2 linked regions of the Struthio camelus genome follow. The protein of the gene in region 2 interacts with the protein of the main gene of each other region in a pairwise test. Links are inferred from orthologs where the notes say so. Each region holds a gene or a part of one and is shown on either strand. Other genes may lie near its edges.

What was found. The genes of interacting proteins can lie anywhere in the genome.
Region 1: the proteins of SMURF2 (region 2) and SPART interact in a two-hybrid assay, tested with the Homo sapiens proteins (2 studies listed by BioGRID and IntAct). The link is inferred for Struthio camelus from reciprocal best matches to the Homo sapiens genes SMURF2 and SPART.

Annotation. Positions count from the first base shown.
Region 1 is NC_090942.1:196,624,275-196,631,437, forward strand, and holds the start of SPART (spartin), read left to right. Parts: upstream 1-4,162; 5' UTR 4,163-4,242; exon of another isoform or gene 4,243-4,327; intron 4,328-4,331; exon of another isoform or gene 4,332-4,465; intron 4,466-7,163. UniProt on the Homo sapiens protein: Lipophagy receptor that plays an important role in lipid droplet (LD) turnover in motor neurons.
Region 2 is NC_090960.1:4,577,487-4,585,043, reverse strand, and holds the start of SMURF2 (E3 ubiquitin-protein ligase SMURF2), read right to left. Parts: upstream 3,050-7,557; 5' UTR 2,695-3,049; coding exon 2,643-2,694; intron 1-2,642. UniProt on the Homo sapiens protein: E3 ubiquitin-protein ligase which accepts ubiquitin from an E2 ubiquitin-conjugating enzyme in the form of a thioester and then directly transfers the ubiquitin to targeted substrates.

The DNA of each region.
Region 1 (7,163 bases), on a different chromosome or scaffold from region 2:
AAACAAGGTTTTCTGGGTCCTTGGATATCCTCATTCAGCGTAAGAATAAGGTAAACTAGGAAGGTAGCACTTAATGATTACACTCATGCAATGACTGCTCACACTGAAGGGCAGTGAAAAAAGTCATGTTCAGGATGGCCACAGTTTTACAGTCAAATGTAAGTCACTACTGATACCTGTACCTGTTTCTATATCTTTGAATTGGTAGGCCGCTTCCCTCCCAGGGCCATATTTTTAACCAGTACTTTATTCCATACCCCTCTGGGAGTGTGGAATAGCAGATTTGATCTTCTCAAGGGCAAGTTCTTCTTTTCAGCTGTTTCATGCTGATCTATTGTCTAGGATGTTAGGTGCATTACCTTCACCTGTAGCTCAAATCTAGCAACTTTGAGCACACAATGAAGATGGTCCTCACACCTTAACAGACTGCTAATTTATTCTTAGGTCAATAACAGATCTAATTTTAAAAGGCTGGAATATTACCTTCTGACACATGGTTGTTAGTGCCATTTCCTCACTTTGCTTGAGGACAAATGATCTGCAAATAACTGTGGTGTTTGAATTCATAACAAGATAAACATCACAGATAAGACCTTCTACTCCTCTATGACAAAAGTTTTTATTAGTATGATAAGCTATCTAATATCTTTTTCACAACAGTGATTTACTGTGCTTGTCAGTGTTTAGGGGACTGCTGACTTAAAGCACTGTGTCCACACAGAATGACATCATCAGATAATTAACCGGTTTACAGTCAAAATGGCATTTGGAATAAGTCAACGAAATTTATTTGCATACTGGCGAGTGGTTTTAGAGAATTCCGTATATTTCATTCACAACCTCATAGTCCCCAGGGACTCATGTTTGCTAACTTTTACAATTTAGTTTGGGATCCCTCCAAGGTTTTGAGAGGCAAAGATCTGAACGACATTTTAATTAACTTGCATATATATATATATGTACACACACACACATACATGTTATATATTATATATTGCCTAGCTCGTGTAAAACATTTGCACGTTATTAAAGCAGAAAAAAAAAGCAGAGATTTGAGGAAAAGCCATTCCTGTAAAAGTGCAGACAAAAAAAAGTAAGCCTACAGTGGTCGTTTAGATTGAAATCCCTTGATACAGCTCACCACAGCGTATCTCTTGCAAACAAAGATGAAGATGATGATGGCAAAAGAGATTACCTAGGCCTATTTCTGAAGATGCTGAACTACTGAAAATGCTGAGCGCTCTCTACTGACTGATTTGAATTGTTCTCTTTAGGAAGCATCATTTCAAGTGATCCATATAAACTATTCTCAGAGTGTGCTCTTACAGAAATAAAAGCAATCTATCACCTCATCATTTAAATCTACCCACGACTGACCTGTATTTCAGCAGTCTTTCAGATGATTTATTTAATCTATATCTATATTCTGATTAAACTAGATATTTAAGAATGAACCAAACTGTAGTAGGAGAGCTCTGAGATAAAGAATCATATACTGTTCCCACTCTTACCCAGGCATCCACTTATGGCCACTCTTTTGTTTTAGTGTTTTCTTTTTCTGTTTAAGTATTTATTTCACAGAAAAACTTAGGCTTTAAGAGACCCCTGAAGGTCATTTAGGCCAATCTTCATCTCAAAGCATATGCATCAAGTACATTGAATTGCTCATGGCCTTGCCCAGTTGAGTTATGAATCCCCCCAAGGATGGAGGTTTCACAGCCTCCATGGGCAAATTGTGCCTGTATCTGATCACCTGCGTGGTAAAAAAAAAAAAAACTCCTTATATTCAATTAATAGTTTCCCTTTCTGTAACTGGTGTCCATTGCCTTTTGCTGTGCACCTCTGAGAATAGTCTGGCTTTATCTCTTCCAAATCACCTGCTAAGCAGTTGAAGACAGCTATAACTCTCCCTTAGTCTTTTCTTCTTCTGGCTGAACAAACCCAGCTCTCTTGAGCTCTCCTTTATGTCATGGGCTCCAGCTCCCTGACCATCTATTGGTCTCCACTGGTTTCACTCCAGTTTGTCGACATCCTTCCTCTACTGAGGAGCCCAAAACCGGTCACAATGCTTCAGATGAGCTCTCATACATGATGAGTAAATGCAAATAACTTCTTCCCTTGGCCTGTCAGCCAACCATTCTCCCCAGTGCAGCCCAGCAGGCTGTTAGCCTTCATAGCCCCAAGGGTACACTGCTGATTTATGGTCAGCCTGTAGTTCACAGGGGTCGTTTTCTGTAAGGCTGCTTTCTTCGTCAGCCTCCAGCCTGTATTGACTGTGGAGGGGCAATTCCACATCAGATACAAGACTTCGCATGTACCTTTTTTGAACTTCATGAGGAATTTTGAGGACATGGAATTGCACTGATGGTCAGCTGAAATAGATGGACACTTGATCTGAACCATTACGGCAGCTCCTATGTCCTTAAATGCATATGAACTGCACAACATGATACTACAGGCAGGGCTGGAATCACTCTATCTTTTTGAGGTAAATTCATCCTGCAAATGCATATAAAGTTATCAGTGCTTTCAGCACTGCTTAGAAACAAAGCTGAGTGTCACTTTCCATCATAAAACTGTTTTTTATTTCCTTATAAACCTTGCATATATCCACATAACATAATTCAATGTCATCTACAATTACCTGAGCTCAAGCTACCATCTGTCTAAACCAATGTTTAGGGCCCTCCCCACCAGCTCAAACCACATCTACTATGCTCATTCATCTGCATGCTACATCATACTCTCTAATGAATGTCATCCTCATGTTTATTTGAAGAGAGAAATTGTCTCAGAAGCTGATCTGTGGTAGTCTCATCTCTCTTCCAGGTCACCAGGTAGAGAAAGGGACTGAAGAGCAGGTAAGTCACTAGTCAGGAACACAGAATTCCTAGACAAGTTTTGCTCTAGAAATCGTAAAAAATAACAATTTTCTAGATATACTTCAGAGCTAAACGCAGCTGAGAAACAAATGCATCTTCCAAGACTGTGCTGGGTAGGGCCACCACTAACTAAGCACAAAGTTTACTATCACTTTCCTATGATCTGCGGTTTGGGGTGTGTCAGAGAAAATTGATTCACAATTAGCACAGGCACAGCCAAACAACTAAGAAAAAACGTAAATTAGGTCTATCAGAGCCTTCTGATAAAATATCTATACCGTTCCTGGCACCTAGAATACAACCAAAACAGCTAGCTCAGGTAAAGAACCATGCACAGGGTAATAACACACATATGGCTTCTGTTAGACTTAAATCATGTGGCCTGAAATTTTCTATGTTAAAGTCAGATTCCAGAAGCAAGTAAATAATATATTGCTTGGTTACATTCAAAATTGCTAACAGCTTTTTCACTCTGGTGTCTTCCCGGTCTAAGATAGGTGCTTGAAATTTAGCAGGAACATTTTCCTTTGTTTCTTCCTACCATCAGTGCGCAAGCGCAGCTCCTAACTCCCACAGACAATGCAGTTAGGAAACAGCCTACTTCAGCTTCCCCACGGTCAGAAATGAGCCTCACCTTAAAAAAACACCTCCACTAACATGGCATCTCTCCTAGCAAAGAAGCAAGTCACTTCATGACCGCATGTGAAGTAACAGTCAAAATAAATTTGAAATATGAGGCCTAAAAGGGGAAGATTTTAAAGCTTTGGAATGATTAGGCTTTAGCTTTTTGGGTTTTTTGTTTGTTTGTTTTTATTCCTGTTTTACTACTGGCTGCAATTACAAAACTAGATGCCCTAGTTACAGCACAATACCCTGCTGTTTTTGCCTGTGCCAGTCACGACGCCTGTTCCCAGATGCCATGTTTCAAGTCTGGATTCCCAGCCCTGCTCCCAGGCTGCTCCCTAGAGGCAGGAGAGTGCCCGGCATATCTGCTGGAAAATGCCCTTTTTCCTTATACCGGACTAAGCCGGGGCAGACACAGATCACAGCTAATATTTATTAAACACCCTTTATTAATTAAGCTGCTATTATTAATAGCAGACATGATAAGAGCGCTCCGGGCACCAGCTCCCCTCACAGGGGAAGCATCACGGACACCTCCCGCCTCACCGCCCGGCCGAAACCGCCCCCGCCAGGGGCCGCGGCAACGCCCCTGCCTGGGCGGGGCCAACGCCCAGTCCCGCGCGCACCCCGCAACGGTCGCGCAGTGACGTCACGGCCGCCTGCCCCGCCCCAAGCCAAGAAGCAGCGCGCGCGCGCGGCCGCCTGACGTGGGAGGTGGCGACGGCGGCGCGGCTCGGTGAGCGCGGTCGGGTCAGCGCGGCGGCGAGCGGGCCGCGGTGAGGCGGTTGGGTCGCCTGCGACGCGGCCACTCCGGCGAGGCGGTGCGGCCCGGGCGGGGACCACGGCGGTTGCCCCCAGCCGGCGGCGGGCAGGCGGGCGCGGGGAGGTGCCTGAGGGGCGGTGACGGGCGCTCGGGTAGCACTGCCTCTCGTCCGGGGAAACGTGGGGTCGGCCTGCAGGTATGGGAAGCTGTGTCTTGTATTTCCTGCTTTTAAAAAGATTCGTGTCATACGGGTTGGGCCTGAGTTGTTTGTACCTGCGTATGGAAAATTTGCTGGCCGTGGTTGGGAACTGACAGGTCCACTGCTAATAACAGCGTATTAAATAGCTGTCTTGCATAGCTCTTTAATTTTCTGTGATGTTGACTGAATTTCTGCCCACAGAGTACTAGACTGTGGCAATGTCTTTGTACTTGAGTACTGTGAGGTACTGGGCAGCACAGTTGTGTGATGAAGGGAACTACCTACCTTATTAGTTTTTCCCTTTCCTTTTTAGAGAAGTGCCAGGTCGGCTAGGATTCAGAAGCCTAAAAACTCTGCAATGAGGGGATATCATGAAACTACAGAGCATGGGGTCAGGAAGGAAGCCCATTTATTGGGACAAAATAGGCTTGAGACAGCAGTACCAAGAGGGGAAAAAATAAACATATTGGCTAGGTGAATGTAGGTACTACATTCTTGGTGTAAGAAATTGATATAAATGAACTGTTAAAAGATGGAAGTTGTACGGAAGACATCAATAATTGTAAGAGAAGGAATTACCATGTTAGATGAGATCACCCACTTACTCTTTTGTCCAGTCTTTGTTTTTATCTGGCATTAAGTGCTTAAAAATTAGCTGTAAGCCATCACATAATGATCAATTTCAGGGCTACCTTTAAATGAACTAATTTAAACGGAGAAAAAAACCCTAGTTTTATCAGCTAGAAACTATCTAAGTAGTTTAAATTCTTTATAATGCTTGGTTTAATTCAGTATGTTCTTATTCTCAAAAGATAGTAATATTCTTTTAATTGCTTTTTCCCTAAAGAAATAAGGCTTAAACAATTCTGTCTGCATTGTAGTTCTTGTTCATCTTTGAAATCAGTGGCTGATAGAAAAACAGTTGGCATGTAGGAAGAGGTCTTGGCTTAAGGACATGTAGGAAGAGATCTTAGATGAAGGGGTTTGTTTTGGCTTTTGTTTACTTGTTTTCCTCCCTCTTCCCACCCTCCCCCCCAATTTCAGAAACAGGAAGTTGGAAACATCTTGTCAGTCAGGATATTTAATGCTCTTAATAAGCTTTAGGCTTCGAAGTTACCTTTTGGCAGTGAGGTCCACAATTTAACTGCTTTTAAAACAAAGTAGTTTTTTTTGTGTGTGATGCTTCAGAGGATCAATGGCCAAGTAGTGGAGATATTAGCCTGCAATATCAAGTTGAACCAGAGTTTTCCTGTTGCACTATAGCTTCTCTTGGCAAGTCACTTAGCATCACAGAGTACATCTGTTCTGATAAATGAAAAAGGGCTAGGGAATGAGCGTGAGCACTGGATTGATCTGTGATTATCTATAGTGTCTGTTAGCTCTTTTCTTAGCTCTGTTTTGGACCCGCTTTCTCAAAGACAAATTACTCTAAGTCTTATTTAGTGCTAAGAAGTACAAATCAGGGTAAATCTGTGTATTCAGTCATGGGACCAAAGGTTGGTTTGTTGTTCCCTCTCTTGTTTAGCAATATGCACTTTATCATTTGTTTCAACTGTAAAATGGAAGAAATAAGATGCTATATAGCACATAAATGGTTTATGGATAAATATTAAAGGCAAGGTACTTAAATACTATTTTAATTAAGATCATACATTGAAAATAATAGTGACCAAGGAGCTGGACTGCATATGAACATATTACTCTTTAAATGTTCTGTTTCAGAGAATATTTCTTTGCTCTTGTGTTGAGAGTGTGATCCAGTTGCTTTGTTTACTTTGATATACCATCATTATTTTGAATAACCTTGCTATTTCCAATTATCAGTTTGTCTTGAGATTAGGTACAATTTTCTCGGGAAAGGTGGCTTCCTATCTTATTTAGCGTTTTCATTCCCCTTTAGGCCTATTCTTTTAATAAAAAAAATTAAGAATGAATTGAATTCAGCTCTTTAGGACTTTAGTCATCTCTAGTTAAATTCTAAAGCTTCCTCCATCTCCACCAAAACGCATAGTGTGATGGCAGCTGTGCTATACAGATATCACAAATTCAAGGTGTTTCAAAGAAGAATCAGAAATGAGTGATAACACTCCTACTGTTTAGAATCGCTGAGCCTGCTTATGTATCTTTGCCGTGCTTGGCCATACACTACTGCCATGTATACACTGATCATGCTGACATCTCTGTTTTCTTACAGAACTGTTTTAGTGTTAACAAAGCCTGTGCTTTAGCAAGAACAATGTTGTTGACAGTGCTACAGGCATGCAATGAATAACAAATTAGTTCACCGTTGAAATGTAGCTACGACTTTAATATTTTACTTGATGTCACTTTTTTATACTAATAATTACAAGCAAAAGATATATTTAAAATCTAGATAGTGTCTTGGGCTTAGCCTCACCCAACAAAAATCAAAACACATGGAGCAAAACAGGCTATGGTACTGAATCGTGTTCACACAAGTGAATTGTTTTCTTAAAGCCTTAAGACTCAGTAAGGGACTTGTTGCAGAATTGGCTTCACAGCTACTGAAAGTGTCAAAATAGTGAGTTTTGCTCGAAAAGAAGTAAACATTTTCCTTACCTAAACATTTTCCGTGTCTTGGAAACTTTCAATAATTTTTAAATTGAAGTTCCTCACTGTAAAATTGTTTTTCATTTTTAAATTTTTTTTCTAATGAAAAAAGTGATTTTCATTA
Region 2 (7,557 bases):
ATGGACTGAGAAGTTGGGCACTAGCTCCAGATCAGTTCTTGGACTCACATCAAACATTACCCTGTCATTTATCCAGTCAGTCAAAACAATGTTTTCCATCTAAACCTTTAATGTTTATGTCCTGAAAAACTGCTAATTGAATCCAGCTCTCAAAATCCATTTTTTAATCTATACTATCTAATTTAGAGATAATGAACAGAAAAGATAAGCATTACACAATGATTGCAAAATGAATCCTATAAATACTCAAGCCAAAACAGAAGACTGCTAGTTTTGTAAGGCCAAAGAAAATTACGATTAAATAACATTTGCCAGTTTGAGAATAAACTTTTAAAAACACTGGAATATACAGATTCTTTTAATTCCAAACAGTTTTAGAATTCAAGAGTCTTCACACTGCTTTTCCAATCAAAAAGGGTAATCAAAACCACACAGAGCGCTTAAAACTATTCCTAGGCAAGAACTGACAACATGTCAGTTCAATTAATAAAGTTCAGTTCAGTGCTTATAACAGCTTTCCTTAAACATGTAAAACTTCCTTATAACAAATGACTTTATGTGAAACAACATGCAATTAACCAAAGCACAAAATACCTCAAGCATTTTTAACTTGAGAAATAGGCTGATGTTTCATATAAACTTCCAAAAAACCAGAACTGGTACTCAGCAACTGCAAACAGCTGCTAGAGCTGGAAGAGTCCCTATAAAGGCAATTTTGCCTGCATCCTGTGTTCTGCATATATCCTTCCTAAAATATAAGACGACAAAAAACTCAGAGGCACGTCTTAAGATTGTATCTGCTTCTTTTTGCACTGCACAGCTACGCAGTCTCCTAAAACTCTGTAAGTAAAACTGCTGCTTATTCCTTGCTCACGGTCATAATCCCCCACAACATATTTATATTGTCACAGACAGATGACTATATACTTAGTCCTTAATAAAAATAAAATAAATATAGAACGTGAAATCCAAAGGTGAAAAAGACAACTCCCTAAACAGGTATTTTCCATACTTTCACATGAGGCTCCAGACCATTTTTAATGTTTCAAAAATAAAGCAAGTCTGAGCACTCAGGAAAAAAAAAAGAATTAAGTACTGCATCAGTACAGCAATAGCCTAAAGAGCAAGCTACAAAACACACTGTAAAAACAAGGCAGCACTGTTCCGTGCATCAGTCCCAGCTATGCTTATTTTAAGAGTTTTATTTCTAAGTGGAATATAGAGACACTCACAAATCTCTATGAAAACTAGATTACAAATTTAGGCCAAGTATTTCCAAAGTAAAACATAAGCAGATACATTCATTTTCCCTGTAAAAATAGCATATTTTGAAAAAATAGGAAAACATCTCTTCATTAGACAGTAGCTGGAAATATTTCACGGGCACTTAAAAGTAAATATACCAACCCTTCCAGCTTTGTTTTTTTTTTTTTTTTAGTGCTGATTGGATATTTTTTGCCAGCAGAACCACTATCCTGGTAAAACACACTATTTGAAGGCAACAGTATTAGTAATATTAGCTACTATTTTCTAGTCTCTTGCCTTCATGCACTAAGAATTAGAACACAAAGTATGTGTTTTGTGCTGGTGTGGGTTTACAAAATTTTTCATCAACTCTTTTCTTTCAAAAGGGAAAGAAACACATTTTTTTTGTCAGGAAAGCTCTAGCAACGCTCCCCAGAGTTTCTCCTCTAAACCTATTTGCCTGGGTTCTTACTGTTTAAAAAAAAAAAAAACAAACCACATACTTCAAGGACTTAGAAATAACTTATTTCCCTTCCCAGCACGCAGGTGAAGAGTTTCTGACGGTATCTAAAAAACACGAGGGGTCAAGCGATCTCCTGAAAGCGGGCTGGCAGCGTCAGGCATGAGGGCAAACCAACTGGGTACGACTTGAACTGAGGAAGTCGGCTGGGGGGGGGGGGGGACACAAACAAAGAGATCAAAACAAAGAGTGTGACAGTTTCTTTCAAGTTTACACTGGGAAGAAGGCCGGGGGTTGGGGGGAAACACGGGGGTTGGGGTGGTAGGGGAGCTGAGGAACAGGGTAAGGGAGGCAGCGCCGAGGAGCTCACACCGGCCGGCTCCCCCCGCGCCGAGGAGGGCGGCGGCGGCGGGGCCGGGAGGGGAGGGCGGCAGCGGCCGGCTGCCCCTCACCGCCAGCCTGGGCGCCGCCGCCGCGGGGCACGGACATTTTCCTCACGACGACCCCCCCCCCTCCCCTCTATGGCGGGGAGACGATGGGCGGCGAGGGAAGAGTTCACCCCTCCACACACACACACACAGAGACAAGAGGCCTGAAAGGCTGCTCCGGCCCCAGGTTCAATCTCAAATACACACGGAGGCGGCTCGCCCCCGCCCGCCCCCCTCCAGCTGGGCTCGGCGCGCGGAAAGGCTCCGTGGGCGCCTCTGCCCGCGGACGGCGGGCTTCCCCTCCCCTCCCGCCCCGCGGCGCGGCGCGCAACGGCCGCCTCGCCTCGCCCCCCGAACCCCTGCTCGCTTCCTCTCGGCTCTTCCCTCACGAACTCGCCCCCTTCCCGCCGCCGGACCGTTGGCGGAGGCCAAAGGCGGAGAAGGCGGGGGGGGGGAGGGGGGCAGGCAATGGCAGCCCCCGCCCGCCCCGCCGCCGCGCTCGCCCTCACCTGTCAGTCGCAGCTTGACGGGCCCGTTTCTCCGGGCCCCTTGGTTGGACATGTCCCCGGCTGCTCCTCGGGCTCGGCGCTGCCTGGCCCGGGGCTCCCCCTGCCTCTAGGTCCGGGAAGGGAGACGGGGCGGGCAGGGGGGAGGGGACGCGCTAATGGAGTCGGGCCGGGCGCTCAGGGAAGCAGCAGCAACAGCAGCAGCAGCAACAGCGGCGGCGGCCGCCGGAGGAGGAGGCGGAGGAGGAGAAGCCCGGATGTGCCCAGCGTCGCCATGAGCGGGGCCGAGGAGGAGGAGGAGGCGGAGATGCCGCCGCCTCGCCTCCCCGCCCCCTAGCCCGGAGCCCGGCGGCCAGCACAACAAAGCCGGCGACGGAGCCGCACGGCGGGCGGCCGCCTCCCTTCTCCTCCCCTCTCCCTCGCTTCCCACAGGGTGTTTCCCCCCCCCCCTGCCCGGGCAGTGGGGCGCGGGGAGGTGCCCACGGCCGTGGCGTGGAGACAGGGGAGCGGAGCTCCGTAACGAAGCGGGGTGTCCGTGTGGGGTTTTTTTGTTTGTTTGTTTGTTTTTGGAGAGCTGAGGGGACTGAGAAAGCCGAAGGGGTCAAGGCCGTCGGGGCGGGCGGGCGAAGGCACGCCGAGAGGTTGGGTGGCGCGGCTGAGCACCTCTGATGCTGGGTGATGGTTTGCGTTGAGTGAGGTCTGGCAAGCTGGTGGTGGAAACCACTCAACTTTGGGCTAGTTCGCTGGTGGCCAGCGCTCTGTAGGGACGAGCAGCCAAGTCTGGCAAAGGACCGTCCCGGAGAAGGGAAAAGCTGCCTTGTATCCGCGCTGCCTGGCCTAATTTTGCTCCCGTCGGTGACTCTTTCAGGGACTTCCAGGCTTTGCAGGAAAGCGAGGGCGGCGAGAGACGCAGCACCGGCAGGCAGCTTTCAGGGGGGCCTGTGGAGGACATGGGGCCTCCCAGACGAGCCCTGAAGGTTGCCACAGTCACCTTCACGTTAGAAGATGACTAGCACCTCTTCTTACTCATAACCTTACTAATGGTTTATTATGCTTTGCACACAAATCATGCGGTTGTGTCATTGCACGGGCAGCCTGTAACGTATTATCGCACGGGTAGTCATAGATCAGGATCCATCCTATGGATGAGGATTCAAACGTGGGATGAAAACGTGACCCATGCTTCATTGAATTTATAACGTAGCTTCTACCTAACACAGGTAAAGTCACCCAGAAGGCAGAACTGAACCATAAGCATACCTGGAGGTGTCCCATCCGGACGGAGGTCAGTGCTTGGGCTGTATTAAGTCAAACCGGGGTCCACTGAAGGCCTCGGAAGTGGGATGCGGTGCTCAGAGCGCTGGGTTGTGCAGACTCGCATCTCCTTCCTTCCACAGCATGTCTCAAGCAGCAGGAGGAAGTTTTCAGTGCTTCCTGTTGCAGTGGCGCCACTGCTGCAGTGTTAATTCACCTGGGAGTGGAGGAGTCCTGGGATCGAGCCCTTTCTTCATACAGAGCTATTTCTTTCCTGTGCAATGCCTGTTAATCACAACATTAGCAAGTGTTAGTAATGGACCTTTCTTTACAGAATAGACAAAGCATAAGAGAAAATGCACTGATTCATTGCTTAGCCATTTTTTCAAGCAAAGAACATTTAAAACTAGTCAAGTCTAATCTTCATTAATTTCACAGCACAGATGTAATTTATATGCTGTACTGAAACAGTTAAAAAGTTATTTCTTAGTTATGTAAATACAGACACACCACAAAGACGTTCCAGGTGTCCTGATTCCTGCATTAAAAAATAAATAAATAAAACCAGCCTTAATGATGTAAGGCCATATTAAATTTTCAATCTGTTGCGAATTCATACAGCCAGGTTATTAGCCTTTTGTAAAACTAACTGCATAAAGCAAATGGCAGCTGGTTTGCAAATATTGCAACATTACCTGGCCACTGCTGAACAGAATAGAAAAACAAAATATAAAGCCACTTTTCACATGCTTCACATATTTCTAGGCTACAGTAGATTTTTCTAACATGTAATGACCCCATTTAGGTCAGGACTGTGTCCTCTCTCCACTAACATGAGGAGAAATGACCTAGACCAGGTTGCACTTGGACAGACAAACGTACCAGGTGCAAAATACAGTCTTTTTTCCTTCTGGCTTTGTAAAAACATTACTATAAATGTACCCTGGGTGTTCTACGGATGTTTCTGTCCCATCATATCTCACTATTCTATAGAGAAATCAGTATTTCTATTCGCTGTTCCCCTTCACTGAGTAAAATTGCCAGACAGTGAGGAATCTGTGCAAAAACTGCATTGAGCAGCGGTCAGGAAGCATTGCGAAGTGCCAAGAACTGCAGGGAATGCGGGAGACCAAAAATATTGACAGTACCTGATGACTGAAAGTGCTACTTTTCCAATAAAAGAATTTCACACAGATTTCATGATCCAGGGAGTTTCTTGTGCCAGTGCTATCCCCCAAGTTCTCAAAATACTCTGAGATTAAGGTAATAGATATCTCACTGATCCTGCTTTGGGTTTTATAAGCCAAGCATTTACAGTAAAGTTTGTCTTTGTGCATTACCATTTCAAGGGTGAAAAGAGGTTTCACTCCATAGTGCTGATCTTGTGAGGTAAGCAGGGAAATATCATCATTAACTGCTGACAAGTGATCCGTGTTTCACTCTGGGCTGATATCATTGAGCAACAAATCCTTTCAAGATGAGGTAGCTAGCTGAGATCCGGAGGGAAGGGAGTGCCTTGCATCACCCCACAGCTCACTTTTGGATGACAGCCTCACTGCTGGACTCGGGAGGGAGTTCCACCGAGTCGTCTGCAGCCAGAAGTTAGCGACTGAGACACAGTCTCAAGGGTTGCAGGAAATTATATATGAAGGGGGTAAGCTCAACCATCTTTAGGACCCCAGCGGGGCTGCAGAAGGCTCCACAAGGACAAAATAATTTAGTGGTTGGTATTATGTTAGTAAAACTTTTGGGAAAAAAAAAAAGTGGAACTACAAAAACTTCTTTTGTTCCATGACTGCACAAAAAAGGGCTTTGATTCTTGAATTTCCCAATAGGCAGAAAAAGAAGGCTTTGCATTCAGATATTTCTCGAAGGATTTAGAGGTTTTGGACACTGGAAAATGTGAACAAATGTCTTTAACCAAATAGTACTCATTTTCAGAAGAGGATATTTGTAGTTAATTTTTCTGAGGTAAGGTCCTCTCCATCTTTAGAAATAGAAGAATATACTGGAAACTCATTCCTCAGCATGTGGTATGTGTTCAAAGCACATCAACATGTAAGAATTACATTCCATTTCTTTCTGTATGGAGGTTTAATCACACCACATTCCTTTAGCAGTAATGAGAGCTGGCTGGTGCTATACCACATTCTTCCCTAGCTTCTGTGATGATATCAGGAAAGCAGGAGAGTCCTGACCCTATTGTTAAGCTTTTGTGAGTAAATTGAAAGGCTAAAATAGTATTTTCCTCAATTTTAAAAAATAAGTAAACTTACAATTGTCAGTGTTGTATTTCTTCCTACTAGTCTTTCTTTACCTGGTGCGATTTAGAAATGCCACCACTAGAGATCATGGCATTAAAACCAGAGTTAATCAGAAGAAAATTAAACTTCTATTCCCTTTTCTCTATGATGTATTTCCATTGTATGTGCAACCGTTAATGCTAAATGGCTACTTCTGCCACCTAACAGTCTAGTTCTGAGAGGAAAAGCATTGTAGCAATATACACCTAGATGACCCCGTTAGGATTTAAATTTGTCAGGTCCCATTTGATTTGAAGATAAATAAAATTGAAATATTTATGCAAGTCCCTGATCTCATTCTTATAATGTCAATGTTTTTCTTTTTCAGTAAAGTTCTGTCCAAGTTGGCAAAAAAAGAAAAACAAGTATGAATTATATGAATTGATTAACATTTATACCATCAGCGTTTCCTGTTCATTTCTTATTTTACCTGATTAACTAATTCACTTTCAAAGCATTCCTGTGTACCTCTATGCAAGACATCATTAAAAAAGAGTCTTTCTGTTTCCTGACTTCATACTGTGTTCTACACTAGCATGTTCTCTCTGTCCCAAGCCAATTTCCATGACAAACAGCAAGGATCTTCAAAGCAGGGACTTTCTCTTATCATGTTAATACAGTGCCTAATGCCAAGTAAGCCATACCTGAGTTGATGTCCCAATGCGCTACTCAGTAAAATCTAGTCATTAATAATGATAAACTTACAACATCAAGCTCAGATTCCAACATTTTATGAAAACTGGAATCTGGAGAAACTATTTCTCAAAAGAGCAATGGCCATAGCGAGGTGTTTCCTTTAAAGATAGGCAAAATACTAACTGTGCTGAAATACTCAGCAAGAGATCAGCGAGCAAAAGCAACTGGACCGTGGCCGCTACAAGCCCTGTGAGAGTCACACAAGTAAAAGATGATGAGCTTGGAGCAAGACCCTGTATTGCTTCACTGTCTGAAAGATAATGAAACAAAAGGTGCCTTGATTTTGGTGTCCTTACTCAGCTTGAAGAATCTTTTTATGCCTCACTAATTTCCACAGCTCATGACTTCCAGATGCCACCTAGAATGCTGTTCTCTTGTGAGCTCTCTCAGTCTTGACCTACTCCATCAACATCTTTGACTGTTAAGGGCACCACTCTCCTAGCCTGTCTCTTTGGTGCGGGTTTTTCTTTTAATCCTTCTTTAATCCTTTCATAACTTCTTGCTACAGCAAAGGCACTTCCTAAATTCATGCAGATCCATCACGTTTTTGTCCTGTCCCTGAACAGAAGAACTTTGTCCTCTAGGAGGTTCTTTTTGTTATCTTCCCTGCTGCTACTCTGTACAAAAGCATCAAACTCATCTCTACTGAAGTCACATATGAAGTG